7 linked regions of the Nothobranchius furzeri genome follow. The protein of the gene in region 4 interacts with the protein of the main gene of each other region in a pairwise test. Links are inferred from orthologs where the notes say so. Each region holds a gene or a part of one and is shown on either strand. Other genes may lie near its edges.

What was found.
Region 1: the proteins of fhl3a (region 4) and mrm3a interact in binary tests that used the Homo sapiens proteins (3 or more experiments, as listed by UniProt). The two-hybrid records come from large-scale screens. The link is inferred for Nothobranchius furzeri from reciprocal best matches to the Homo sapiens genes FHL3 and MRM3.
Region 2: the proteins of fhl3a (region 4) and rfx3 interact in binary tests that used the Homo sapiens proteins (3 or more experiments, as listed by UniProt). The two-hybrid records come from large-scale screens. The link is inferred for Nothobranchius furzeri from reciprocal best matches to the Homo sapiens genes FHL3 and RFX3.
Region 3: the proteins of fhl3a (region 4) and slc25a46 interact in binary tests that used the Homo sapiens proteins (3 or more experiments, as listed by UniProt). The two-hybrid records come from large-scale screens. The link is inferred for Nothobranchius furzeri from reciprocal best matches to the Homo sapiens genes FHL3 and SLC25A46.
Region 5: the proteins of fhl3a (region 4) and fosl2 interact in binary tests that used the Homo sapiens proteins (3 or more experiments, as listed by UniProt). The two-hybrid records come from large-scale screens. The link is inferred for Nothobranchius furzeri from reciprocal best matches to the Homo sapiens genes FHL3 and FOSL2.
Region 6: the proteins of fhl3a (region 4) and snrpg interact in binary tests that used the Homo sapiens proteins (3 or more experiments, as listed by UniProt). The two-hybrid records come from large-scale screens. The link is inferred for Nothobranchius furzeri from reciprocal best matches to the Homo sapiens genes FHL3 and SNRPG.
Region 7: the proteins of fhl3a (region 4) and metal transporter CNNM3 interact in binary tests that used the Homo sapiens proteins (3 or more experiments, as listed by UniProt). The two-hybrid records come from large-scale screens. The link is inferred for Nothobranchius furzeri from reciprocal best matches to the Homo sapiens genes FHL3 and CNNM3.

The regions. Positions count from the first base shown.
Region 1 is NC_091753.1:47,256,211-47,260,233, forward strand, and holds mrm3a (rRNA methyltransferase 3A, mitochondrial), read left to right. Parts: upstream 1-1,431; 5' UTR 1,432-1,468; coding exon 1,469-1,824; intron 1,825-2,063; coding exon 2,064-2,308; intron 2,309-2,381; coding exon 2,382-2,543; intron 2,544-2,622; coding exon 2,623-3,221; 3' UTR 3,222-3,438; downstream 3,439-4,023. UniProt on the Homo sapiens protein: S-adenosyl-L-methionine-dependent 2'-O-ribose methyltransferase that catalyzes the formation of 2'-O-methylguanosine at position 1370 (Gm1370) in the 16S mitochondrial large subunit ribosomal RNA (mtLSU rRNA), a conserved modification in the peptidyl transferase domain of the mtLSU rRNA.
Region 2 is NC_091746.1:53,263,988-53,268,403, reverse strand, and holds the start of rfx3 (transcription factor RFX3), read right to left. Parts: upstream 2,853-4,416; 5' UTR 2,684-2,852; intron 2,666-2,683; exon of another isoform or gene 1-2,665. UniProt on the Homo sapiens protein: Transcription factor required for ciliogenesis and islet cell differentiation during endocrine pancreas development. Essential for the differentiation of nodal monocilia and left-right asymmetry specification during embryogenesis.
Region 3 is NC_091746.1:69,900,924-69,905,316, reverse strand, and holds the start of slc25a46 (mitochondrial outer membrane protein SLC25A46), read right to left. Parts: upstream 2,914-4,393; 5' UTR 2,762-2,913; coding exon 2,497-2,761; intron 2,293-2,496; coding exon 2,250-2,292; intron 1,952-2,249; coding exon 1,894-1,951; intron 1,825-1,893; coding exon 1,747-1,824; intron 1,664-1,746; coding exon 1,563-1,663; intron 1,411-1,562; coding exon 1,354-1,410; intron 1,282-1,353; coding exon 1,224-1,281; intron 3-1,223; coding exon 1-2. UniProt on the Homo sapiens protein: Transmembrane protein of the mitochondrial outer membrane that controls mitochondrial organization.
Region 4 is NC_091745.1:70,520,432-70,524,513, forward strand, and holds the start of fhl3a (four and a half LIM domains protein 3), read left to right. Parts: upstream 1-1,266; 5' UTR 1,267-1,408; intron 1,409-4,082. UniProt on the Homo sapiens protein: Recruited by SOX15 to FOXK1 promoters where it acts as a transcriptional coactivator of FOXK1.
Region 5 is NC_091758.1:42,824,220-42,827,260, reverse strand, and holds the end of fosl2 (fos-related antigen 2), read right to left. Parts: intron 2,830-3,041; coding exon 2,290-2,829; 3' UTR 506-2,289; downstream 1-505.
Region 6 is NC_091755.1:44,511,933-44,516,322, reverse strand, and holds the start of snrpg (small nuclear ribonucleoprotein G), read right to left. Parts: upstream 2,928-4,390; 5' UTR 2,807-2,927; coding exon 2,775-2,806; intron 2,599-2,774; coding exon 2,576-2,598; intron 1-2,575. UniProt on the Homo sapiens protein: Plays a role in pre-mRNA splicing as a core component of the spliceosomal U1, U2, U4 and U5 small nuclear ribonucleoproteins (snRNPs), the building blocks of the spliceosome.
Region 7 is NC_091746.1:39,506,242-39,510,324, forward strand, and holds the start of metal transporter CNNM3, read left to right. Parts: upstream 1-1,205; 5' UTR 1,206-1,306; coding exon 1,307-1,990; intron 1,991-2,063; coding exon 2,064-2,398; intron 2,399-3,497; coding exon 3,498-3,674; intron 3,675-4,083. UniProt on the Homo sapiens protein: Probable metal transporter.

The sequences.
Region 1 (4,023 bases), on a different chromosome or scaffold from region 4:
TTTTTTCTTGATAAAATAATTCAAAATTTTGTTCATCAGGAAAATAAAGCGTGTAAAACACACACACACACACACACACACACACACACACACACACACACACACACACACACACACACACACAGTTCATTCCATAGGTTAATTCACAAGGAACACATCTGAAGATTCTTATTTCTTCTATGCCAAAATATCAAGTATATAACACATTCTATTTGAGGGTGCCTTTCTACGACCCATGCAGGGTCATGCGGAGATAAAAAAGAAATAAGAACCTAAACATTAATAAAACAGTTAAGAGCAATATAAAAGCTAAAATCAGGTAAAATCTCTATCTAAAGTGAATCTGCTTGAACAGATGTGTTTTGAGCTGGGTCAGAGTAAAAGATTCAGTGTTTGGGAGGAAGTGAGTTCCAGAGACTATAGGGCTTATTTTTGTCCCTTAACTTCACAATATAATCTTAATATAATTTTAATTATGTTAAATAAGCTTATTTTTTTGCATTTTGGGGAGGTCAAAGGCACATGACGTTGCTTCTATTTGTAAACTTTGCTCCTAGTAACACTCTGGTTGTGCAGCACCAGGCTAAAGACCAAAGGTGACAGATCATTTGCTGCTGTGGCCCCCAGACTCTGAAACTCTCTCCCCCTGAGCCTGAGATCAGTGGACTCAGTGGTTTCCTTTAAAAAGCAGCTGAAAACTCACCTGTTCAAGCTGGCTTCTGCGTGACCTACGTCACCACCCTAGAAAGAAGCCTAAAGAGCCTAGAAAGAGCAGAATAAAGAGAGCTCTCCTTATTCTGCTCTTTCTATTTATTCCACCTTTCCCCCACAGTACCTCTTTCCTATAAATTTTCTCTCTCCCTTTACTTACATTATTATTTTTATCACTCTTTTTATTTTATTTTTCTCTCAGTTTAAACATATTTTTAATCTTTTTAAAAAAATTTATACTATATTAATTTTTTGTGAAGCACCTTGTGATTTTTATCTTGAGAGGCGATATATCGTTTTCTTTCTTTTCTTTCTGCCTGTCACTCAGCAAGATGGCTACACATAATTTATGACTAGGTTCTATCTCAGGGGTCAACCTGGTGCCCCAGGAACTAAATAAGCACAAGTCTGCAATAATAATAAAAAACATTTCTGCTGCCATCTTTTTGATCACAAATGCATTAATATATATTTTAAATCTACACAATACATTATGTTTATTGTACATGAAGTTTAGTTTAACTGATCTATTCCAGTTCAAAGATCAGCCTGGTAGTCCTTCGTATGGCTCAGTACCTCTGAAGTAGCTCTCAGCTTCACAAAGGCTGGTGACCCTAATCTATCTGAAGCAAACTAAAACCTTAGAAATTATGGTGGAAAATTTAACACGTACAGTTCACTTTACCTTCCAGCAGGTGGCAGTAACGTTTTACCTCGTCTTACAGCAACGTTTACGGACAAAAGAAGAAGGTACAAGATGGCAGCGTTCGTGAGAAGCGTGTTATGTCAGCTTTCCACCGAACGAAATGCATTTCTAACCAAAACTAACACTATTATCGTCGAATCCAAACGACTTGTTCGTGGACTGAGGAGGAAACCTGTCCGAGTTTTGTTTCCTGAGAACGACTCTAGTAGAGTGGTGAATTCTCATCAGCAGCCAGAAGAAAAAGCGACAAGAATCACTTCTAAAACACAGAATATTGAGAGAAAAGATGCAGTTAAAATGAAAATCACTGAGCAGTCGAGTGGAAAGCGTCCCCAGGTTGCTGTTACAAGGGATCAAGTGGACGGAGTTCGCTTTGAGAGGGCTTTTCCCGGAGACAAAAGATTATCGTGAGCAATTGTATTAAATCTCATATTATTTTTAATTGCCACGAGCTTGATTGCATCCCATTGTGTAGTCTATTATCTTAAAACAATTATTATAATTGTGATTTGATTTTTTTCTTGTAATAAAAAATAACCATAAACGCTCAGGCCTACACATGGGGGTAAATTACTAATATTTCGGTCCAGAAAGTGTAGGTGATATCACATGATGAGCTGTCTCTCCCTCTCCACCTCTCCACCAGGAAGCTAGTAAGCGTTGCTCGCTCCAGGACATTCCGTGAGCACCAGGGCAAAATCCTCCTTGAGGGCAGGCGTTTGATCTGTGACGCTCTGGAGGCCAACGCCAGTCCACAGATGGTGTTCTTCAGCACCGTGGAGCGACTCCAGGAGCTGCCTCTAGACAAGCTGAGAAGAGCCACGCTTGTCAAAGTCAAGTCTGAGGACATAAAGATTTGGTCTGATCTTGTTGCACCACAGGGAGTGATCGGTAAGAGTTTTATTTTGAGGTGTAGGTATCCTGAGCTGTTTGACATCCAAATCACTCTTTAAACTTTCTGCAGCCATATTTTCTCGGCCAAACCCGGAACGGTTGAACTTTTCACAAAGAGGACAGTCCGTGCCGCTTTCCCTGATATGTGATAATATCCGGGATCCGGGTAATCTTGGGACCATGCTGCGATGTGCTGCTGCTGCTGGCTGCCACAGAGTCCTGCTCACAAAAGGTAATGCTGATACTTCCAGTTTAACATCTGAGCATCCATACACAGCTTTTAATGTCTCTGCTTACAATCTTCATAACAGGTTGTGTTGATGCTTGGGAGCCTAAAGTTCTACGTGCAGCCATGGGTGCACATTTCCGACTACCCATTTATCCCAATCTGGACTGGGATGATGTTAAAAATCATCTGCCTAAATCGGTGACTGTCCACGTGGCTGACAGCGGCCCCGACATAAGTGCTGAAACAGGGGGAAATGGGTCTCACAAACCGTCCAAACCAGGAGACTTTGGATGGGTCAGCTCAAGGCCTGATGGTAAAAACATGTTGTACCAGGAATATGACTCTGACTCAGAGTCTGACTCAGAGTCTGACTCAGATTCTGAAGACGAGGGCCCTCAGCTCTCCAGAGTGGAAACCAAGCTGTACCACGAGACCTGGACTCGGAGTCCCTCTGCGCTTGTGATTGGTGGAGAGACGCACGGTTTGAGCGTGGAAGCGGTCCAGTTAGCTGAGGAAACCAGCGGTCACAGGCTTTTTATTCCTGTTGTTCCTGACGTGGACAGTTTGAATTCGGCCATGGCGGCCAGCATCCTTTTGTTCGAAGGCAGGAGGCAGCTGTTAACGCTGCTGCAAACATCTGGGAAGAAACGTCAGTCTAAACCTGAGAGGAACTTTTCCTGAGGTTTCCAATTGAATATGGAACCAAATGTATCATAATCCATCTGTCTTGCAGTAAAATCCCGAGTTTAAATTAGGTTTTGCAAAGCTTATGTATCAGGTGTTGTATTTGTGTTCATATATTTTGTTTTAAGGACTACTTTTAGCTATGTCATTGAGCCAATTTATGAATATTAACTGATCTGTAATTGGAGGCTATTACAAACTTTCCTCAATCATTTGACATAAGTCTTTGGAGTTTCACTGTTTCAAATAATTGTATATCCTAATTAATCAAAGACAACTTGAATTTCTCTTTAAAACAGCAAAACGCATGTTTTAAAGATTTTAACTCAAAACATTTTAACTCATATCACGAGTTCAGAAAAAAACAAGGTTGTTTTTGAAATGTCACTATGGATTTAATGGGTAGATATAATAAAATGCAACAAAACACAGCTATAGTTTATCTGCAATAGTTACAAAATCACTGCTTACTATAGCAACTAAATGACAAATGACTTAAAATGAGCCTTAAAACCAGATTGATCATGAAGGAGCTACCTTTCCATAGCAAACATTTCCTTTTTGTATAATTTAAATTGAGCTGTTAGAATTAATAGTTGTGGATAGTCTGAGAAGTAAATTTAACCTTTAGAAGGGAAGGCGAGAACTATAGTTAGAATAAATTTGCATAAATAAAAATGAAAAAAATTGGATTATGCAATAAAAATTATGAATCGAACTGAATTGGTTGACAGAATTTCCTGGATTAGCACGTCCTTCAGAAGATGAACAAAATTCTCTCCTTCAAGCCGAAATCTGG
Region 2 (4,416 bases), on a different chromosome or scaffold from region 4:
CTCAACCCCCCCTTCACAATGACAAACACACACACACACACACACACACACACACACACACACACACACACACACACACACACACACACACACACACACACACACACACACACACACACACACACACACACACACACACACACACACACACCATTCAGACGCTCCCTTGTGGCCCACTTAAACGCCGTGCTCCACTGAGCAAGTGTGAGCCCTACAAAGACACGAAGGAACAAAAGCCACCAAGGAGCGCAACACTGCACCCTGAGTTTTCTTCCTGCTAGCATACCAGGCCACACAATCCTGGAGCTCACGAGGCTCACAGCAGCCGCTAACGGAAACCACAGAACACTATAATTTTCCTCCGTAATGACAAAGTTGGACGTGTAATGTATAGAGTAAAGGCATACGCGAGAGTGAACAAGACTGATTGCGGTCGAGAGAAATTCTTTTCTTGTTCTTGGTGGTTTGATCAGGTGGCAGGAAAACAGGTGGAGGGAAATCTAATTGGGAGCTGAGGAGGTGGAGGGTATGCAAAGAACTGTGTTTGTGTAGGGGGAGAAGGAGGAGGGGGGGTGGTTACGATTACAAAGGAAAGAGGGACTGACTTCCATCGTGAGCACCAGTAATGCTGATTTCACAGTCAAAAACTTTGCATTTATAAAAGATCCCATGAGACTGTTGAACATCTCATCTGTTTATACAGGTGAAGCTAATGAAAAGTGTCAGAAATCACTGGTTACCACAGGCCTTCTGCTCATTTCAATAACCAGGAGTAGGAAGTGATAATAAAAAGAAGTAATCACCTTTAAAAAGACCATTATTTCATTAACATTACAGCAGGATGGCTGTGATAAATTACAAACCAAACATGCTGCTAAAGCCAGGAAAATGGCCGACAGAATAATTGAATTAATCAGCCCCTCTTTAAGTGATTGGAAATGCAACAGGATCCAGGTAGCAGGTGGCATGGTACTATTTCTGCCCTTCTGGACCACAGGTAAGTGGAAACCTGATCTGATAGCTGCCAGCTCCTAACATCCACTTTTGTGTGTGTGTGTGTGTGTGTGTGTGTGTGTGTGTGTGTGTGTGTGTGTGTGTGTGTGTGTGTGTGTGTGTGTGTGTGTGTGTGTGTGTGTGTGTGTGTGTGTGTGTGTGTGTGTGTGTGTGATCAAGATGACCTCATTTAGCTTGTACATGTGAACAGATCTAAATGATTTTAGTATATAACACCATAATGTGCTCAGATTATGCAGCTTTATGTTGATCCAGTGGAGATGATGTGCTGTGGCGCTGTTGGGTCCAGCTGGGTTGGATTCACAAATTATTATACAACACCTAAAACACTATAAGAAAAAAGGAATTATGAAGTTTACCTGTACCTTTTTTTTTTTACTGAACAATAACCTTTTGCTCTTGAAGATAAATCAGGACATCCTAAGTCCCCACCTACCCCTTCCCCTCACACACACACACACACACACACACACACACCTGCTTTCTTCCCAAATGGGATTCAGAGGTTGCAGGTGAACATGAGACCCAGTGGACCTAAGAATAAAATGTGATGCAACACAGAGAAACCAATTTTAAATGGAGCACCAACAGAATTAAAGCACCCCTAAATGCCGGGCTGTTATACTGTTGGGAAGAATAGGTATACAACAAATCTGCCTGACAGAAATTATGTTTAAAATTCCATAAAAAATTAAAAATCCACCTGTTAAGAAATCCTTTCTCCTTATACATATGTAAAATGAATAGGCAACCATTTAAACTAATTCTCTCATTAGGTCTGAACTTGTTTTAATAGTTTTAGAAAAAATGTCAATTTAACAAATCTTAAAAAGTAAATAACTCGACGGGGTGCAATGACGTTTACCAGCCCATTTCCAGGATGTGCCACTCAGAACCCTAAATGATTCCACTAAACACAACCTTTATCCAAATTGAAAATGTTAGCTCACTCAGAACTATTTTCTCCGAGCTGCAGAACTTAGTGTGGTGTTATCTGAAAGCTTATCACAGCCATCTGATGCCACAAAGAGGGCAGATGGAGAGCTAGCGAAGCTATCTTGTAGCAAAAGACAAAAGGGAAAGTAATGGCTTAGCTATTGTCAACCAGTGAGTGAGTGCAGGGCTAGCTTACGACACTTTCCATTTGCCAACAGCCGTACAGATTTTCTGTAACCGACCAGATTTCCTACACATCGAAACACAAACTTGCAACATCAGCGTTGACGTTGCCTCCCAAAAAAAACAGGATACCAACAGGCATTGTCAGGAGGCATCGCTGGCGTTAGCAACAACAGACACCTGCTCCAGCTGACCAGTTAGCAACGCTGACTAGCCGGCAGCTCTGCTACCACAGCGTGGAAAGTTAAAACTACAAAACATGTTCAATAATAGAAACACTTTTACAAGTCGTTTTAGCTCCGCAGCGTTCCTTATTTCCGTATAGCTTATCTCTGCTAGCAAAGCAGGAGCTCTTCTCATAACGAGTTCCCACAAGGAACCTTAGCAAAGCAGGCTAACACGTTACAAAGAAACACCCTCGCTAGAGCCTTCAACCCAGCAGCAGACAAAACACAAACCAGAAGCAAACCTCCCGCATAAACCCCTCTCATCTTGTCAGAGGAGAAAGCGCTTGCATTCGGGCTAAAAACAGCGAAGAGTTGAGCCAAACCTGAGCTGCGGACTGGTTGATGAAGATGAGGATGTTGGAGGAGGTGGTAATGATGGAGCCAGAGGTTGTTGTTGGTGGGTTACAGTCGCCAGGACTACGGTGACTATGGCGTTGCCTCACTGGGCAACAGTTGCTATAAAACTCATCTGCAGCGCTCAACCTTCTTACCAGGCAGGTGGGAGGAGATTTAGGCGCACATATTCATCTGAAGAAATATAATCAACCCGATTAAAAAAAAAAACTAAACATGTGTCCATGGCTGTCCGTTAACACCCGAAGTCACGGCTTTTTGGCCTGATCTAGTTTAGACTTTATAGAGACTTTAAAATTGTTTGGCGTAAAAAAAACCTAGAAAATCAAATCTTACAGAAGAGATTGTTGTGATTTGCCAATTATTAACAAAACAGTTTATTTAAATGGGTTTTAAACAAAAATCTTAATTTTATTGGGTGAATAATTTTGTTTTTAGTTTTCTTACTTTTATTATAGGGCATAAAAACTGTCTTATTCTGAGGACTGACAAGGTTACAAGTGTGTTTTGTTATTAGAGAACATGTAACCGTTGTAAGTATGTGATATAAATTGATAGTTTTGTAATTTACAAGGAAAAAATTGCCTCCACCGGGGCGGTGGGGTGGGGGGTTCCAAGGGGGGCCAGTGCCACCATGACAGAAAGTTTGGACCCCTGATGAGAGCAGAGCATAGGCATTAAAGGTCAACTTTACTCATAGCTTTAATACATTTGCAGTGGTCTACAGTAGGAATTAATGCCTTGCAATCAATTTTCTGGGAAAAAAGCTCTGGTGCGCCATTTTGAGGATGTAGAAGTCAGCTAGAGGAGAAAGTGGCAGGATATGGAGTCTTATTTCCTGATATTTGGATATCTTACCTATGACTGGCCAACAGAAACCTTATCTTTACTCAAGACAAAAATAGCATGATACAATCAGTAAACAGCATGAGGTGAACTGTATGAAACACAACTTAGCACAAAAATGCTCAGAGTCTGAACCAGGAAATGGCTGCAGGCATAAAGCTCTGGAACAACCAGTGACTTAGCCAATCAGCACCCAACAGTCGTGATGCTGGCCCAGGTCAGAGCACTTGGAACGTCAAGGAAGCAGTGACTTAATTCATGAACTGCCAGCCATTTTTTGATCAGAAAAGCCCTGCGCTGCCAGCGTTTTTCAGCGTTTTCAATGTTTTTTTAAGAGTTACAGAACATTGCGTGCTAGGATGATATCAACGCCAGAACTAACAAAAGAAAGAGTAGACTCACCTCTTACTCCACAAAGAATCTGCATGTTTCAAGCATTATCCATTCTTTCGTAATCCGTTGTCGAATTTTGATCGGCCTGCGACCTTCCGATTACTGGACAACTGACTCTACCTCTGGAGCTACTGCCGTTCCATTGAAACAGGTGGCAGCAGAGTTCTATTTTGTTTCAAACTTGTTCTATTTGGAGAAAAGGCCTGTGGGCACCTTATATGGTTCCTGGGGCACCAGGTTGGTGACCCCTGGTGTGGAACCTTCCCTGAGAATGGGGAACTCTTCCCCTAAAACAAGATTCTAACCAGTTCTCACCCTTCTTAATGTTTTTTTAACCCTCAGGAGGCATGGTGTTGCAAGTTTGCAACGTTAAAACCTACCTACCTGGTTACCCCACATACGTATTTCATCAGCATTTTTTAACTCAGAAGTACGCCTGAAGGACTTAGTTGTTGGTCCTTTT
Region 3 (4,393 bases), on a different chromosome or scaffold from region 4:
CTCTTGAGGACACATGGGTGAGAGAGGACACAGTCAGGATCCTAACATCCACAGGTTCATTACACCCCAGTTCATTCTCTCTCACACACACAAATATACACACACACACACATACATACATACATACACGCACAAACGCACGCACACAAACACATATATACACACACACATGCACGCGCACACACACACGCACACAAATATACACACACACACACACACACACATACATACACACACGCACGCACACACACATACATACATACACACACACACACATACATACATACACACACACGCACAAACAAACACACACACATGCACGCACACAAATATACACACACACACACACACACACACGCACGCACACACACACACACACATACAAACATACATACACACACGCACGCACACACGCACGCACACACACATACATACATACACACACACACACATACATACATACACACACACGCACGCACGCACACTCACACACACACACACGCACAAACAAACACACACACACACGCATGCACGCACGCACGTACACACACACACACACATATATATATACACACACATGCACACACACACACATATATATATACACACACACGCACATATACACACACACACACACACATATATACAAACACACACACACGCACGCGCACACACACACCCACACACATATATATACACACACACACACACACACACGCACACACACACACACGCGCACACACACAGCTTCACTGCACCGGAGCATGTGATGACATCATGAGACACATGCCATACTGCAGCCAATAATCATAAAAGGATCGCTTAAAATTGTTAAAACCAATCAATAAATATGATTAAAAACAAAGTGAGGGGAAAGAGAACGTTACAACAGAGTCACCGTCCAAAAGCCAATAACAACGTTAGGTCTTCAAGCACGACATGAAGACAGCGACGGATGAGGACTGATGGATTGGGATGTGGAACCTTCCAGAGGATGGGGCAGCAAACACAAAGCCCCCCTGTCCAGGGTCCGGACCTGGTAGGTTTGGTTCTGACGATGCGCTGGTTAGGTTCCTAGGGTCCAACATAACGGACTCCATCTTTGGCTCATTGAGTTTTAGATGGACACAGGAAGTGAACAGCCAATGACCTCAAAACCGACCACCAACAGGAAGTCTGAGTTTACCTGAAGCCATCTTGATCAATAATCAATAATCAGTCACCTGGACGGTCTCGATGAGGCTCGAACAGTAAAATGGAAGAGCTACAACAGCTGTTAATCTGTGGGTGAGAGAGGGACAGAGGAAGTCAAACAACAACCACAACAACAACAACAACAGGAAGTGAACAAACCCTTTGAGCAGTAAATGTCCTGCCAGCTGTTTCCAGCCCCAGTTGTGAGGGAGCTCCCTGTAAACACACACACACACACACACACACACACACACACACACACACACACACACACACACACACACACGCACACACAAAGTGGAAGAAGGAAGAATTGTAGTGGGAGAATTGAGTTCTGTGGACCTGAGGAATGATGACCATGTGGTTACCGTGGTAACGATGTCACCTCGCTGATGATGCCCTCGGCGCCGAGTGTGATGCCGTGAACGATGAAAGTGCCACCCATCCCCTTCCACAGCGCCTTCACACCCTGGTGGGACACAGCATCACCTGATCCACACATGGACTCTGACTAACCTGATTGGTCTTGTTCATGGATCAGCTGATCAGTACCTGAGCTTTGGTGATGGCTGACATGACAGAAACGATGCTGAATGGAGTCAGGTGGTAACAGCGGGCGTGGTAGTTCACCTGAGACAAACAGCCAATCAGAAGGCAGCAGATCCCCACAGGTACAGGAGGTATTGATCAGACATGTACCTGGCACTGTCTACGGAACACGATGCACGGGTGGGCCAGCACATTCTCTGTGAAGAGACTACAAACAGACTTTTATTTTGAAAATCCCTCCTGTCCCAGGGGCTTTCATCCCTCTGCTTTGCCTGACAGGCTGAGACCAGACTCTGAGAAGTTTGGTGTGATATTAAGAAAAGCTGCAGTTTCCTTCACCAGAACCAGATTCTGATGGGCTTGTCTAGGGGCCAGGTTTAAAGTGTTGGTTATGTAAACTCTACCGGGCTTGTGGAGCTGCAGAGTCCAGACCTGAACCGGGTCAGATCGGAGGCAGAACCAGAACCTGGATGAATTATGCTCAAGGGGGTCTGGTGGGAGCTTACCTGACGAGACCGATTCCGAACCCGGCGAACCGGTTCAGCTGATCTGGAACCCAAACAGAAAAAAACAGAGTCGAAACCAGAACCATTGGAACTGGTCAACCCGACCTTTCTCTCTCTCATTCACACTCACTCATACACACGCGCACACACGTATGCAGGTGAGTAAAGTGCCTGTGATGCGTTCACTGACACCTGGACCTGAGACGCTGTTAGATAGACTAGAACCCCGGCATACAGGGAGACCTACCGGCGGATGGCACCGCCGATCCCGGGCCCTCCCAGCCGGCTCCGGGACCTCCATGGCCGGCTGGGAGCTCGTCCTCCAGCGGGGTACGCTCTCCCGGGTGCAAGTTGCGGCTGCCCGGGATGTCCGGTGGCGTAGTGACCCAGTGGTGGAGCTGCGGATCGGACGGGCCTCCGGAGCTCCGGACCGAGTATCCGGTTCCGTACAGCGGATCGTCGCGGGCTCGGTATCCAAACCCGTCGAAAGTATCCGGCCGCCTGGAGGCCATCGGGGAGCTGGTGTGATTGCAGAGATCCGGGGTGAAAGCGAGTGTATCGATGACAGAACGGAGGACTCGAACCGACGGAGGTCGATCGATCAGAAGCAAAACATCCACCTGAACCCGGAAGTACTTTTCTTCTTCGTCTCTCCTTACAGTCGCAGAAGGTATCTATGCTGCCGCCCAAAGCCCGGTTCCAAACAGCTCGGCGGCTTCTGGCAGGACCCTTTCTAACTTCCCCTGTTGTCAGAACGATGGGACCAATAATGTGTATTTATTACTACGCTTATTATGTATTCTATTAAAGCAGTAAACTTTTGGAGGCGCAGGAACAGCATTAGGGTAGCCAGACCGACAGGAATACGTAGACGCCCCATTGGGCAGTGGGAAAGCGTAACATAGTCGCCGCCATATTGGACGGGTCTCCTCAAATTAAATGAGAGCAAAGTAAGAGGTGTGTGTGTGTGTGTGTGTGTGTGTGTGGGGGGGGGCACAAAAATAAACAAAGGATGTACAAGAATCTGCAGAAAGGAGGAGAGACACAAAAATTAAACATAAACAGAATATCACTAAGCAGTCGGTTCTGATGGACGGGTTGTCGTGTTCACTCACACTCAAATTATAAAATTATTATTTATCAAATTATATTGACACTATATGTATATGAACTACACAAACACTCATTTATTTCAATTGTTATTGTGGCAAGGTGGAGAAATGAGGGCCCAGGTGGGATTCGATCCCCAGACTTCTGGGCAACTCACGCGCACTAACTACAGAGCCAAAGGGACATCCCCTTAGCCAAGTAGCCTGGTCACATGATCAATCGAGATACAGTGAAGGACGTTTAAATGCAATTGATTTTGAGTCAACGACTGGGTCCATCGAAATGAAATGGTTGCAATCTTTTTTATAGAAAAGTAACAATATTTGTTTTTTCTTCCCAAAGTTATATTTGCGAACCTTGGATCTGTGGCGTAGCCAGAAACTCATTTGTGGAGCCTCTCATGGAGCTGTGCCACACACACACACACACTCACTGATTCATTCAGAGAGCACACTGCACCAACTCTGGCTCTGCGCTGTCAGACTGAAGGCTGAGATGAGAGATGAGACACCTTGTCTACTTTTAAGACTAGGCTTAAAACATTTTTATTTGATAGGGCCTATGGTTAAAATCTGATGTTAGCCTAGATCTGGACAAATGGGGGAGTAGAGGGAGGTGGAGTGTACAGTCAGTAAAGACGGCTCTCCCTTGCCCTGCCTCCAACATGCCTCCATCTAAAAGGCTAGGTTATCCAGAGTTATCTCTGTAGTTATGCTGCTATAGGCTTAGACTGCTGGAGGACACACTGACCACTTTTCACACTCGACTACTTTCTTTGGGTCGCATTTATCAAGCTTGCTTACGCACAAAACGGGGTCGGAAAACTGCATAAGCAACTTTCCACGCAAACTTTAGGATTTATGAAGGAAAACTTAGCGGAAAAATGTACGAAACTTTAAGTTGACTAAGGACCTGGCTTACGCACATGTTGAACATGGAGAGCACCTGCAGTGCTGCTGCTGAGTAGTATGAAATCCTGCAGCATTATCACTTGTACCGCTTCGTTTTCACACAGAACAAGATCCCCCCCTCCC
Region 4 (4,082 bases):
ACTACAACTCCTCGTCTCACCAAATGTCATCAAACCAGGCATGGAGAAGAAAAATGGCTGTGAGTTTAACGAGCTTCCAATCCTTCTTCCAGGATGAAAGAAGGAACATTAAACGTGTAGAAAACCACCATAAATCTTGCGATGATGTAAGCAGCAGCTACGCTAGGGGAGAGGAGATTCTGTGGTGACATCATAAATGTGACTTCTGATTTGTAGTTTTTTTTAATTATGGATATTTACAAACTAATAAATCTCAAATTACATGACATAGTCAAAACACACATCATTACCAGATTCTTACTTCACTCCCACTTCCTGTTTGAAAAATGCAACAAATTTTGTGGCCTAGCACACCAAGAGGGCGGAGCCACTAAAACACACGCACACACGCACGCACACACACACACACACACACACACCTACACACACACACACACACACACACACACACACACACACACACACACACACACACACACAGGCTCACAACTACATTGTGACATCAAATGGTACCAGCTAATGTTCTAGGATACCCCTTAGCCAATAGCGATGGCAGATTTAAATTCAAATGCAGTGCAGAGAGTTTACCTGACAACAGCACAACACTGACAGTTTTAGGCAGAAAATTAAAATTTTAACTAAAATGCACTAAAGTGTTAATCTATTGACTACACGTGTCTGCAGCACGATTAGACACTCATTTATTTAGGGTGATTTGGGGGTGACTTGCTCTTTAAGTATGTACGATGCGTGTGATTTAGGGCGAGAGGATAAATGGACCCAGAAAATAACTTTTTGACTTCATTCATTTCTTTTTTTTTTTTTCAGGAGACCCATGGCTTTGGCTACCTATAGATCATTTTGATTTCTTCTAAAATTTCAGGACCATTTTTTAAAAGTTGATCCATAATGAGCAGAGTGTCATAATTAAACATGTACTGTGTTCGTTAGCCTCAATTAAATATTACTGATCCTGGCCAGCTGGGTTGAGGTTGTCGACCATTTTCACTAACAACATTACTTATTAATTTAATGTAAACAAAAACGTCTTTAAAACTCTTCAACTATTTAAAAACTGACTCTTGTTGAGACAAATGCTTTGAATCCAGCCTCCTGTCTGGGTTTCTCCCTGCTCTCATTTGAAGTCTCTAAAAGAGAGAAAGGGAGGGAGGGAGGGGGGAGGAGGTCTGTTTTTTAGAGGGGAGGCGGGATCTTGTGACTCACCAGCAACTTCCTCAGTAGTAGGACAAAAGTAGCCGGCAAACTGCATCCATCAGAGGTCTGACTTCAGTCAGAACTTAGAAAGTTTTACAGAGACGCTGTTGGAGGACCTGACTGATCCTAGATCTGATCAGAGCTGGACTCAGCAGACAGAAAAGAGTGCTGGGAAGGTGCTTCCTCTCTCCTGGTAAGAATAAATTTACATCCCTCATGGATTTTTCTACTTTTTTTCCCAGATAAACTACTTTAAAACTGATATTTGAACAAATTCATTGGCGTGTACAAAGTTTCAGGCCCATTTAAAATACCAAGTGAAGCTTTAACAGAAAATAAAGGTTCAGAAAGAATCAATGAAGTCTGAGCATTAAAGAAATGTTGGGATTATAAGCCACTGGATATTGTTTTATAAAAGGATGGCATGTGGTGTATCAGGGCAAAGGGTGAGTAGAGTCCAAAATTTAACATACTTTTCTGTTTCTTTATGATTTCATCAGTAAAAGTGAATAAACAGGTGGTGGATAAAGGTTTAGCCTTTCAGTAAAATGTCCCAGAAAATTACAACAGATGTCTGCATTATCACACCTATTTTTGTCGCTCTGCTTAACGCTTGTCTCTTATACAGAAATAAATTAACCAGTGAGCCAAAAACCATATAAATAACATCATCTTGGTGGGAAAACGGGCTCTGCTGGCTTATGTGAGCCACTTACCTGTATTTAAGCAGGATTAAGAGCACAACATTGGTGTGTGAGCCTTCAGAAAGCCTAAACGTGTCATCTCAGTGGCAGGAGGAAGTGGGATAGAGCAGTGTGCGTCTGCTTGGGTGTGTCTGTGCTGCAGCGTCTGGAGTCGTTTTGGCTGAACATCAATACGTCGCATTACATAGTGAGCTGTCATCATCGTAACGTCTGCTAGGCACACGTGTTGCTTCATGTGGGAGCTGGAGGAAGGGCAAAGTGTTCAGACTTGTTAATAAGAAGGATGGATAAAGATGTGGGATGGAGAAACTGCAAGTCCTCACACAGTCCTTCGTTGTGTTGTCTTGGCTTTAGTTGGAAGGACAGTCAGAGACATTAGAGGCGTGAAATGTGAAACGGGCGATTATTAAGGGAACGTTTCACTTATTTGACTGATTTCTGGATATCAAAGCAAAGGATCACGTTGAATGTTTGCATCATGAACTTCTTGTTGCATCAAACCAGAAGCGACACACTGAAACTATGCTAAAGCCCTCCAACTACAATCCCTTTCCTTATTGATTTGTTTCACCTTTTCCAGGTTAGCATTCTCCACTTGTGCACCAGTTTGTGTCTGATTGGATTTGGCTCTTCCTCAGAAGATTGCACACCAAATTATTGAGAGATTTAGTGTGAAAATTTCATTCACGGCGGCTGAAAGCACAGAAAATGAGAGCAAAACTGTGCGATTAGGAGGAAAATGCTAAACCGACTTCAGAGATCATGCATCGAATGAAGCAGAGCTATATGATTTCAGGAAAACATGCAACCGCAATTTTTTTTATTGTAACAGTCAGTGATATCCACAGCATAAAGCCACATGTTGGAACACCGTCCATGGCTGTGGGCATTCAGGGGAGCATATGATTGCAGTTTGTTTCCAATTAGTTGGAATCTTTTGTGTTATTGCGGTCTCATATTGATAAATCAGTACGGTTAAAACATGATATATTGTTAAAACGTTCATTTATTTACATTTCAAGAGTAATCATAAACCCTGCTGCATCGTACATGAGCTGTGGTTGGTTGAATTCTTTACTGATACTTTAATACATGTGCAGGGGTCTCTAGTAGGAAGGAACACCTTGTAAGTCATTCTCTGGAGGGAAAAGCTCTGGCGTGCCTGTTTGAGGACGTAGAAGTCAGCCGGAGGAGAAAGACGCTTCAGACGATAGGATTGGGAGTCTTATTTCCTAAGATTTGGACATCTCTATTGGGATTTGGATGACAGCAACGCGGCTCTGCCAAAGCTGATTTTTTTATCCCCACAAATAATACAAGCCTGAAGGAGTTCTGCTGTGTGGTGGAGTTGCTAATGCTAACGTTAGCTTCTACTCTGCTGTTTGCTAGATGCTAAACTAACAACAGCCTTCCCCATTGCGAGCCAAGATAGGCGAGTCCATGAATGTTAAATGACAGTTTGACGTGGATCTGTCAGGCTTTTCTGAACCAAGCATTTTTTTTCGAGTAGTTTCTATCAGAAGCAAATGCAGGACATAAGTGTAGGAGACTGTTTTCAACATTCAGTCTGTGTGTTAAACTCAGAGTGACCGATCATTTTTAAAAATAAGAAGTAAAAAAAGGTTTTTCAGTGAACCTGCTCTTTGCATAACGTGTATTTGAACCTGAGCTCAGCCCGTCCTCACTAACACAACAGCCAAAGCCACTCCAGCTCTGCTCTTTTCTGTCTGTAGCTGCAGAATTTATAGCCTGGAGGGCTTGGAGGAATCCTGCTGTGCTCTCCCCACTGACAGGTTATTTTTACACAAACTCTTTGTCCTGGTAACAAGCAGAAATAATTCTCTAGCAGCCAAAACTCTAGTCATTCTATCCCATTTAGCAGCTGGGAAGTTTGCCTTGACAGAGCCCACAGGCTGTACAACGTATTTGTTTTCTTTTTTCCCGTCTTCCTCCCTCTCCGTTTCATTGACCATGCTCACATTCCTCGGAGGTCTCAGTGTTTTCCAAAGGTTAGCCCTTAGCCCAGCGCGATGGTTGGAGCACGGCCAGTTCTAAACTGCACTGGGATGACGGCTGAACAGCTCGGACTGGTTTTATGCGTTGGCACCATTTGAAACAGAGATAATGATGGAGGAAGTCAAGTGTATGCAGGTGGTTTGGGAG
Region 5 (3,041 bases), on a different chromosome or scaffold from region 4:
CGCTGCTGGGCTGGCTAACGAACGCTGCTGGGCTGGCTAACGAACGCTGCTGGGCCGGCTAACGAACGCTGCTGCGCCGGCTGACGCTGCTGGGCCGACATTTGTAATTCAACACCGGCCAGTGTTTTGTAGAGAACCAAAGCCAGCAAACAGGAGCGACCCAGAAGCTTTTTCTCGTACCCCGAGAAGCCACAGCATCCTTTTGCTTCTCTAATATCAGGTGAAGCAGGAGCGACTCAAACAGATTTTTTATTTGCTCATTTTACCTTCAAGTTTATTAGTTTATCATTTAATACAAAAAAATCAAATGTTCTTTTTTTTTCTAGACCTGAACATATTTAAAATAATGTTTCCATCTATCATTTGTTAATAAAGCTCTGAAGTTCTGAAGATAAATGAACCGAAACACAAAATGTTTTACAGTGTAGAAAAAAATCATCAACAATAAAATAAAATTAAACTTTCTTTGTGATTTTTTAGAACAATAAAAACAAAAAATACTTTCTCCAACTTGAAAATTATTTTATTATTACTGTTTTTAAATTAACAAACACTGCTATACATATTGCTGTTTTTATTCGTTTTGAATCATTTTAAACAGGTAAAGCATTTGGGAAAAAGAAGAAACAGTAGCTGAACGGGCGACAGACGGCTGATGACACGTACGGTAGATGATCTACCGTCGACGGCTTTTCTACGAGCGTCCAGGGGCGTTAAAACGCTCCGACAAACAGATGGTTTTGGTTTTCCTCTCATCTCTCAACGCTGGAATAACGGCTCCCCTCGACGTGTCACAATATTAAACACGGAGTCACGTCAAATCAAAAACAGCCCACCTGTTCCTTTTAAACAAGTATCAGCAGCTTGCACAATGTGGTTTCTGCATCCGACGCAACGTGAAACGTTTAAAAAAGGTTCAATCAAAGATGGCGGCTTCCGTTAAAAACCCCTGAAGTTGGACTCTTTCTCTCGAGTAAACAAAGAATCTCCGGTATGGCTGCTCCGTCTGTTTCAGTGCGCTTCGTTTTAACCTCCTTAAAAAATACAAACAACAGCCGATAAGTTCCCTAAAGTGTTCACTCTTTCACGTCAGGCCAGCTGCAGAAAAAGTCTTCTTCGTCCCTTCGTCTAAAAAGCGCTGGCTAGGATCCGGTCGGTACCTCGTGCACCCAGAGATCAGCACATCTGAGCAGAAGTTAAACATCATTTCTTTACTAAAAGTGACAGATTTACAAACACCGTAGAAACAGGGTTGACATCATTTGGCAGCTGGCGGCAGTCTGGACCAACGTGGCTGTTTTCAAGTTTGGCCAAAATCCCTCCGTTTTAGACAAAGACTGACGAAACACCGGCGTAGAAAAGCTGTTTGTGGCTCTTAGAAACCTGATCTGCCTGTGAGAGGCAGGGGGAAATACAAAAAAATAACAGAGTTTGCTCAGGGAACAAAGCAGGAGGAGGGATGTGTCCAAACTTTATGAAATGTCTGAGCAAAAAGACGACGCAGCGAGGCAATGCAATCAAAAAAGTACCACCTGAAACAGCCAGCAGTCCTGCAAACACTCGTCACGACGAGTTTCCACTGAACACAGGAGAGGGAATCCCTGACATCCATGTAAATCACGTACACTTTGTCCAAACAAAAAACAAAAACGTCGAATCACTTGGGAAAAGAACACAAGACTACCGTAAATTCAAGCCACTACGGCAAAAACAGAAAGTACTGAGGAGCTGGTCGCCGACCGGCTCGACGGCGAGCGACGCGGAGGCGGCGCCCGGCAGACGAGCACGCTGCTTTTCTACAGGCAGGTTTAAAAAGGAGAGGACAACCAGCACGGGCCATAAATACAACGAGATGATGGAGGTCGCAGCAGGAGCGCGCTCCCGCCTCATCCAAAGTCTCTCCTCGGAAATCCCGGAACGGCGCCGGCCTCGCTCCGTCGTTTACCGTCCGATTGGTCTCGGCAGAGTGCAAGTGTCGTTGAGCCACATGGCTTTGCTTCCATGCTTTCAAAAATATATATTATTATATATTCTTTATATATTAGGAGGTTCTCTGGCTTCGGTCGCACCGGCGCCGTCTTTCTGCAGACGCGGCGGTGGACAGGTCGACACTCTGGAGTAGAAGTGGTTGATGTCTTTTCGAGGAGCGGGAGCGCGGCATAGCCCTTGTGGGTCCCCGTCCCCTCGGCTCACACTGTCTGGACTTTAACATGTGCTCTAAGACACTGGGGTGGGTGGGGGGGTGGGGGGCAGGGTTCGGCCACAGTGTTGGCGTTTGCCCCAAAAAGCTCAAAGCGCCAGCAGCGTGGGCGAGTTGAGGGAGTCGGACGACTGGTCGCCGCTGCTGCTGCTGCGCCGGTGAGCCTTGGAGCAGGACTCGGAGGAGGGCGACGGGCTCTCGGGCTCCATCATGTTGGGGTAGGTGAAAATGAGGTTGGGGGCGTTCGGCGTGGCAGCTGGAGTGGACGCCACCACCACCGGCGTGTTCAGGCTATCTCCGTCCGGGCAGTACATCCCGCCGCTGATGCCGCCGCCCCCCAGGCAGATGGGCTTGATGACGGAGCGCTGAGGTTTGCCCACCTTGTCCTCCTCCATGTCCTCGGGCTCCTGCTTCACCACCACCTGGCTCAGATGAGCCCGTGAGCTCATGTTGGGGCGCATGGTGAGCGGCAGGGGGGCGCACTGCTGCGGCTGGTGGCGCTCATCCATGGGCAGCTTGCACACGGGATTGTGGGCCACCAGCATGAACTCCAGCTTGTCTTTCTCCTTCTGGAGGCTCTCGATCTCCTTCTGCAGGTCCGCCTTCTCCTCCTCCAGCTTCTCCGTCTCCTGTTGGGTAAAAACAACACGTGAGCTCGAGGGGCGCTCGGGAAGAGAGCAGTCTGTAAAAAACTAGAAATCAGCCAAATCTGGAATAAAAAGCACAAAAAAAGAAAATAAAGATGAATTAAAAACAAACAGAACGTAAACAATGCAGAAATTTTAAAGAGATTTTTAAATCTAAAGACTAGAATGGTGCCTCAGATCGTAACGTCTCATAA
Region 6 (4,390 bases), on a different chromosome or scaffold from region 4:
GCGTTATGTCATCACTCGCTGCGAGCCAGTTGTAAACAGAGCAGCATGGTAGAGAGAACGCACGCTAACGCTTGGGTCCACTTCACTAAATGTGATGGGTAACTGGGTGATGATGAAACCAGTAACAACGATCTAAGTGAGACATCCTCATCTTAATCTGCTCCGGTAGGTAAATAACATGTTTAAGATAACGTTAGCTCGATATGTTAGCTTCCGTTTCGCTAATGGTGTGTTCGCTTTCTCCTCGGAACTTCGAATTTCCGACTGGAATAACATGAACGCGCTCTAAAGTTTGGCTTCACTTTACTAAATGCGACGGGTGATTGGGTGAAGATGAAACCAGCGACAACGATCTAAGTGTGAGGCATCATCGTTTTAATCTGCTCCAGCAGCTAAATAAACTGTTTAAGATAACGTTAGCTTGGTATGTTAGCTTCCATTGCCACCGTTGTTATCAGCTAATGGTGCGTTCGCTTTCTCCTCGGAACTTCGAATTTCCGACTGGAATAACATGAACGCGCTCTAAAGTTTGGCTTCACTTTACTAAATGCGACGGGTGATTGGGTGAAGATGAAACCAGCGACAACGATCTAAGTGTGAGGCATCATCGTTTTAATCTGCTCCAGCAGCTAAATAAACTGTTAAAGATAACGTTAGCTTGGTATGTTAGCTTCCATTGCTACTATTGTTATCAGCTAATGGTGCGTTCGCTTTCTCCTCGGAAATTCTAACTTCCCAGTAGGAAAAATCAAATGAAAAAGACGGCAAAAGGAATGAAGATACACAGTAAATTTAGTTCACAGTAAAGACGTTTGCTTCAGTTTAATTATCAGCTTATAAAACTACAAGGACCATGTTAAAATACAAACAGTTGTATGTTTTTTATCGTGATATTTATCAAATATGGTTATATATTGAGAAAAATATATATTTAATTATAAAAGAGAATTAAAATAATAAACACTCAAAAGTATCTAAAATTGATACCGTTAAGTACCGGTATCGATTCCTAGGTACCGGGAATTAGTACCGGATCGATTCAAATGTCAAAGGTACCCATCCCTAAGTCTGACTGAGCGCTTCCAGGAGAAATTATGAAAACAATAACGCGTGTTTGGAGCATCGGTTTAGAGGAGCGTCCTGCGATCCTCTCGTGTGAGTAGACAGTCTCTCTCTCTGATCGAGCGGAGCGCGCCACATGACAACCCGCTCAATTAACATAATTCACGGCCCAAATCCAACAGAACCGGTCGGGCTGATTTGGTTCCGGCTCAGGTTACAACTCTAGCGCTCAGCAATGCAGTACCACATCAAGGCGGAACCACGTGGTAAATGTGGAGGACGCTCACTCTGACAGATGCTGGTGCCGCCGTTAAAAAAACAAAACTACATTCCACTATAATCGATTACGGCGTACTCTTCTACGATTTATGTCCGCATCCCGATGCATCGATTATTTTCCTCAGCTCTAATTTGAATGCAGGAAAAACCCTGCACAATCTTCACAGAACCCCTGCAAACCAAGCTATTTACCCCAATTATGCAGCTAAATAAACAAAAGTAAATACAAACATTTAAAATCTAACCAAACATTAGCTGACATGCCTAAAAAATGATTTTACACCAACAGAATGATCTCTTAAAAGTTATCAAAGAAATATATTTATTATTGCGCATGTGTATACTCACAATTGCCTATCCCTAGACTCACTCTGTCAGTGTTTGAGGCAAGCAAACGACCGGATGCAGTCTAACTTCCTCCAGTTTAACAAAGACGAGACTGAAGTTATCGTCTTTGGGAATCAGAAGGTTAGGATGGACGTTACTGCTCAGCTCGGCTCCAGAGGAACGAAGACAAGGCAGCTTTATGTCTCGAGCACGTTTCAAACACAGAGGCAATCCTATGTGCTTTACAGTCACCAGGACATGATAAAACACTAACTACAACACACACAGATAGAATTACAGTTTAGAGCTAAAGGACAAAGACTCATAACTGATTCAGACCTGAGCTGCACCGGGTCAGAACCAAGCAGGGTGATGCTGCACACAGATGAAATCAGCTTCCCCGCGAGCTCAGATGTGCCCCATCTCTGGTCTCTTTATTCATCTTCCTGTCAGTCGTTGCTCCTCGTGCTGCACCTTCTGCTCTGGTGTTCCCAACCCTTCTCAGCCTTTTGATTTGACTTAGATGGATTTTAAATCTGCTGGTTTTTGTCAGACTTGCTTCATAGACCCAGACCAGGCTGAGCACCACGGAGGACAATGCCCTCCACCCTCTAACCTTTAACCCTACCCTGAGAGTTTAAGCACACCCCAACCTACAAGCGGCTTTTAAGAAGGACTGAAAACGTTTCTCTCTAGTAGATCTTTTATAGTAAAGCTTTTCATCTTTCATAATCAACATTTTCCTTTCCTCTAAACGCGTTGAGATTGTCGTGATGTAAAGCGCAACACAAATGCAATCGATTATTATTCCGTCACGTGGTTTTAATGTTTTAGCACCTTAAAACTATAAACTCTTCATAATCACAATAGGGGCTTTAAAGACATATTCGTAAAACGCCATACTCACATGAAAGCTTTTTATCCATGAATCTGAAACATAAAACAACATTTCAGGCGACGGTGGTTCACAGTTCAGGCAGGGTTGCTAATGTTAGCCTCATGGTAAAGAATGGAGCAAAGCTAACAGGCTAACACGTTCTTTCCGTTAAAATCGTGGAAACAAAATTAATAATTTCTAATTGTTATTTTTAAACACGTGAACTTACTTCTTCAGCTCTGGCGGGTGTGCTTTGCTCATTCTGTATCGTTTTTTGTACCGAAGTCCGGTGAGCTAGCTCGTCGGGGTTACGTTGAACAAAACCGCGGAAGGAAAATGTGACCGGAAGTGAAGCAGTTAGCGTTTACAGTCCCACTACGCCCCCTCGAGGCGGGGAGGAGAACGTGTTAGGGTTGGATCTGCAAATATCTGCAAGAACACTTTGTTTCAAACAACTTTTACAATTTTATTGTCAATCTTACAAAAAAGCAAAAGTAAACGTAAGTATTACATATTATACTGAAATGTATTTGAAATGTAAAACGATGTTAATAAGTGCATATTTTATGTTCCTTCTACCTTATTGTTTGTATTCAGTTGACCATTTATTTTGCTGTTGAACGACAGAGATGCATTGTGCTGCCTGATTTTTACCTGTCAGACCGGAGTCCCTAGCTCCCAGCAGTGTCAGCTCAACTTCGTTCTCTTCTTTTCCAGGATGGAAATCTGTTGTGCAGTTTGTATAATTTACACAATTTAACCTAATCTTTAAAGTTATTCTTTCATTTCTGTAAATTCTCATCAAGTTAAAAAGTATAGTTAAAATTAAGCAGATTCAACAGATAACAGGAAGAAGAGCTATTTTTGACAAAGTAAAAAACAACAAATAAAATTCAGTGAAACCAAGTTTGACTATGAAAACTCATGGAAGCCCACAACCAATATCTAAGAACACAATAAAACCAGATTGTGATTTCAAGAAGGCAACTGTAGAAGTCAAGTCCATTACTCGAACTCCTGAGGCTGCTAGACCGGGACCTGGTTGACGCTCTGTGTTGATCCGATGTTGACTAAATTACTTGAACAGCCTTAAGCGTGGAGTTGTTATGATAATGCTTCTTGTTTAATGTTGATTGCATTCCAGGATGTAACAATGATAGGAGTAATCCGATTACTTTCCCATTCAAACGTCTTCATGCCACAGCGGTCAAAAACCTGTTTGCCCTTCCGGAATAGTGCCTGACGCCAACAATGACATCACTACCTTTATTCCGACCAGTAACAATGACATCACTACCTTTATTCTGACCAGTAACAATGACATCACTACCTTTATTCTGACCAGTAACAATGACATCACTACCTTTATTCTGACCAGTAACAATGTGATAGAGTGGGAACTCTGGAAGTTATTTGCTGATCTGACAGTATCTTCAAGATAAGGGCTCCGGTCAGAGAGCAGGGCACGGAGAGACAGTTTTACGTATTTAATGACAGTTGAAGTATGGACATCTGTACATTTCTGTGGTTCCGTGTGGTCTGGAAAATAAATACAAAGAATGATGTAAAAGGATTGTACAAATGGTGAAGTAAATATGCCAACGTTTAAGACTAAGCAAAAACAAATATATTCCCAAATGATGCACATTCAAGGGTAACACAGAGTAAATATTGTGACTTCCAGCCTCAGAGGCACTGACAAATTATATGATCTCCAGGGACCTCTGGTGGTCAAACCAAGGTACTGCTGTTGCAAGTACCACACTACTAAACCATGCTGCCAATTAGCCTGGCATTATACCACACCTCAACTGAACTGACGTCATGGATGGATACACATGGAGT
Region 7 (4,083 bases), on a different chromosome or scaffold from region 4:
CATCACTTGTCCAATAGTCTCCACAGCGAAGCATGGCGGTGGCAGCATCATGGGGGGAGGGGTTAAAATGATAAATGACCCGCACTTGTATAGCGCCCCTCAGAGTAAGGACTCCAAAGCGCTTTACACTACAGTGTAAAGCGCTTTGGAGTCCTTACAGGTTCCCTGCAACTGAACCTGGATTCAGGTTCAGTTGCAGGGACAGGATGACTGGTTGCAATCAAGGGAACAATGAATGAGGCCAAGTACAGGAATATCCTGGACGAGAATCTTCTCCAGAGTGCTCAGGGACCTCAAATTGGGGTTAGGTTTACCTTCCAACCTGACAATGGCCCTGAGCACACAGCTAAAATAACAAAGGAATGGCATCACGACAACTTTGTGTGGCTGTTCTTGAATGGCCAAGTCAATATGGGGTGTGTGTACATTAATGAGGAATTAAATGAATTTAATTGATTTTAGCAAATGCCTGCAAAATAACAAAGAGTGGAAAATTGACGGGGGTCTGAATACTTTCTGTACCCACGGTATATGTGGGCCCAATAATGAAGAAATTATTTGGTCGAGTATATCTTCCATTCATAAATGACTTGTGCTGGATCCCATACTGCCCGCCCTTCAACTCACTCACAGATATTGTCAAAATCTGCCAGACTGTTTCATAATTTTTAAGATGTTGTCCTTCTTAACCAGTTCTAATGCTGCCAGGAATGCCTGGTAGCCATTATTTACATTTTTTAAACCAATGGCGAATTGTAAATATCCCAAGACTGGTTTATGGTGGCCTGAGGAAACAAAGAATAAAACAGGAGAATTGAAAGCGTGTGTTATTCAAGCCATGTTGCTGTCTGTTGTCAGCACTAATAGATAACTTTATTCTGTAAAGCACTAGGATGATAAAAACATGGCATACATCTAATTGAATTTGTAACTCATTAGCAATCGATTTCAGACGGACATGGAAAAGGTAAACCTATTTATGAGCTCTGAATAAACGTTAAAAGGCAAACAAAGCGCCTTCGTCAGCCACAGTCATGAGGGGCTTGTTTCGATGAATGTTAACAAAGATGGGCGTGAACTCATCGCTGCGAACTCTCACAGCCAACGGGCGGCGTGTTGAAAACAAAAACATTCAGAATCCAGCTCCAAAATGACCGCTCATCTCCCGACTCCTCCCGTCTTCAGCTTGGGTGGCTTGAGCCAAAATGTCCGCCCCCGGTGCGCAGCTTCATGAGTTCTCCAGGTGGGCGGGGCCGCCAAGCAAGAGTCACGTGACCCGCGCAGAGCAAGGCTGACTATCTCCAATATGGTGGCCAGCTTGGCAGGTCTACGGGTTCTGTGGATGATAATAGTGTTGCTCTGCGGGATTAGAGACAGCGCCTGCGGCCAAGAAGTTCCGCAGGTTGTGGGGCTGCGACTGGAGGACCCGGAAGAGCTGGTGTGCATGAAGGACCGGATTATCTCAGCGCCAGAAGGAGCCACGTTCAAGCTCCGTCTCTTTGGGGCTAACCTGAATGGAAGCTGGCCGAAAGTCGCGTTCGCTGAGGCGGCTGACGGAGCCACGGGGGCGGTCGGTGATGCCCCCGACCCGTGCGAAGACGAGTCCAGCCGTCTGGAGTCCGCCTTCCAGGTGACGAAGGACTTCATCCCGGACGAGGAGTTCAGCGGACTGCTGACTGTGGAGGTGAAGGGCAGCGGGCGCAGCCTCCACCACCTGTGTGCGCTGAGCGGGGGCAGGTGGGCTTCTGTTGGCCCGGACAGACTCCGGATCAGTCCCGAGGAGAGTCCCGGAGCAGACTACATCCCGCCGTGGGGTCTGGCCCTCCTGGTGGTGCTGCTGCTGCTGATGTGCGGAGTGTTCCGGACGGTGAACCTGAGCCTGCTGTGGCTGGACCCGGTGGAGCTTTACGTGCTCCACAGCTGCGGGTCCGAGGAGGAGAAACGAGCCGCCAAGCGCCTGGAGCCCGTCAGGAGAAGAGGGAACTTCCTGGTGAGTTTCTGAGCCCAGCAGGTCGGGAAGGCAGCTTTGTGTCCGTGTTCCCACCATTCCTGTTTCCGTCCAGACCTGTTCGCTGCTGTTCCTGTGCGCGTTGGGACACTCGGTCCTGGGGGTGCTGCTGTACAAGGCGCTGGGGTGCATCGTCTCCGCGGTCTTTACCAGCGGATTCCTCATCTTCTTCCTGGCTGAGCTGGCTCCTCACATCCTGTGCTCCGACTACGGCTTTCAGATGGCGCCCGCGCTCACCTGGCTGGCCCAGGTGTGCATGATTCTCACCTGCCCTCTGTCCTGCCCTTTGGGGCTGATCCTGGACCTGGGCCTGGGAAGGGACATCAGCACCTGTGGGATAAGGCAGAGAGCCATGGAGATGATCCGAGCCAGTGTCAACGACCCATACAGGTAAAATAACTTTGTTGGTAAACATAAGGATCTAAAATAAGGGTTTGAATCATCCGGAGAAGAACTGATCTGAGAGGCTAAAACAGGACTTGGTCTAAGTTCCTTTCAGACACCTTCAGTTTGATCTGTGACTTTGTCTGATGGCTTAAAAACTATAAGTATAATTTTTTAAATAAAAACATGCAAAAATGTTATTATTGTGATACTGCAGAAGTATCCAGACCCCTTGAACTTTGACACATTTTAGTTTAGTTTAGTTTATTTCAAACAAAGAAAATGTACATAATTTTTTAAAAAGTACCACAAACAGAAAAAATACATATCATCCCATCTGTGTTTGAAAAGGAGTAGGCTGAAGTGGAAACTTATATATCCCTACCCCTTTATACAAGTCATTTTTACTTGTTTACTTAAATCTAACACAAAACCTACATTAAAACAAACAATTTACAACCACACTTTACTGAGATTTTCTGTGATAGAAGACAACGTAGCACACAATTGTGAAGTGGAATTAAGCTGATTCAAGGTTAACCAAACAGAAACCTGAAATTGTGCACCATTCTGCGTCTAAAGAGACTTACGGTTTTAAACAGACATGCATGTTTTTGGTCTGTGGGAAGGAAACTAGGAAAACTGGAGAAAATTCATGGATGCATGTAGCAAAGCATAACTTCATGCAGAAAGGCTGCTGCTGGGATTAAACCTGCAACCTTCTTGCTCTGACACAACAGTGTTACCAACTGCAACACCATGCAGTCTCAAAGACTTTGATATAGTGGTCTTGGAAATAAAAATGAAGAGAATAAACAAAAAAAAACCAACCTTGAAGCTTGGAGTTTGAAATCTTTGTGCAAAGACTTAAGTCCTGACCTTTCCGTGGACTCAGTCCAGAGTCCAGACAACTAGTAAGTAAATTTTATTTGTATAGCACTTATCACAGACATAGAATCACAAAGTGCGTCACATAGATCAAAACAAAACAAAGTCATCAAATCATAATGATCTCAAAACAGAAATAGATTAACATCAGAAAAAATAAAGTCGTAAACTAAACACTCTAACGTTGTCTGTTGTCTTTGTGTGCTTGTGTGTGCAGTGAGTTTGTGAAGGAGGAGTTCAGCCGTGGGATGCTGCGTACAAAGACAGTGGAGGACATCCTGACTCCTCTGAAGGACTGCTTCATGCTGCAGAGCTCAGCTGTTCTCGACTTTTCCACCATGTCGGAGATCATGCAGAGCGGGTACACCCGGGTGCCCATCTACGAAGAGGAGAGGTGGGAGCAACAGCACAGGGATATGTCTTATTATTACGCTAATGTTTTTATTTGAGTTCATCGTGTTGCAACATGCAGTGCAAAAAGTCAAGTCAGAAAGAATTTGAGCAAAGGGTTTGCATGTTTGGGGATGTTAGATCGGACTTTTTTTATACCTTTTAATCAAATGAAAACCCTAATTTTTACATATTCCTATTATTCACGTTACAGTTTTACATATAAGAAAACAGTTTACTTCTAATCAGCTTCATCATTTTCTCATATTTTAGTTCTGACTGGTGAGCAGGCTGGTTTGAGATGTAAACAAACATAAGTGCTGGGATCCAAACACCAGGGGGCGCTGTAGCAGACGTTACATCTGTGTGATCAGGCTGCTTTCAGCAACTAAAAATACTTTCTGCATCATGTT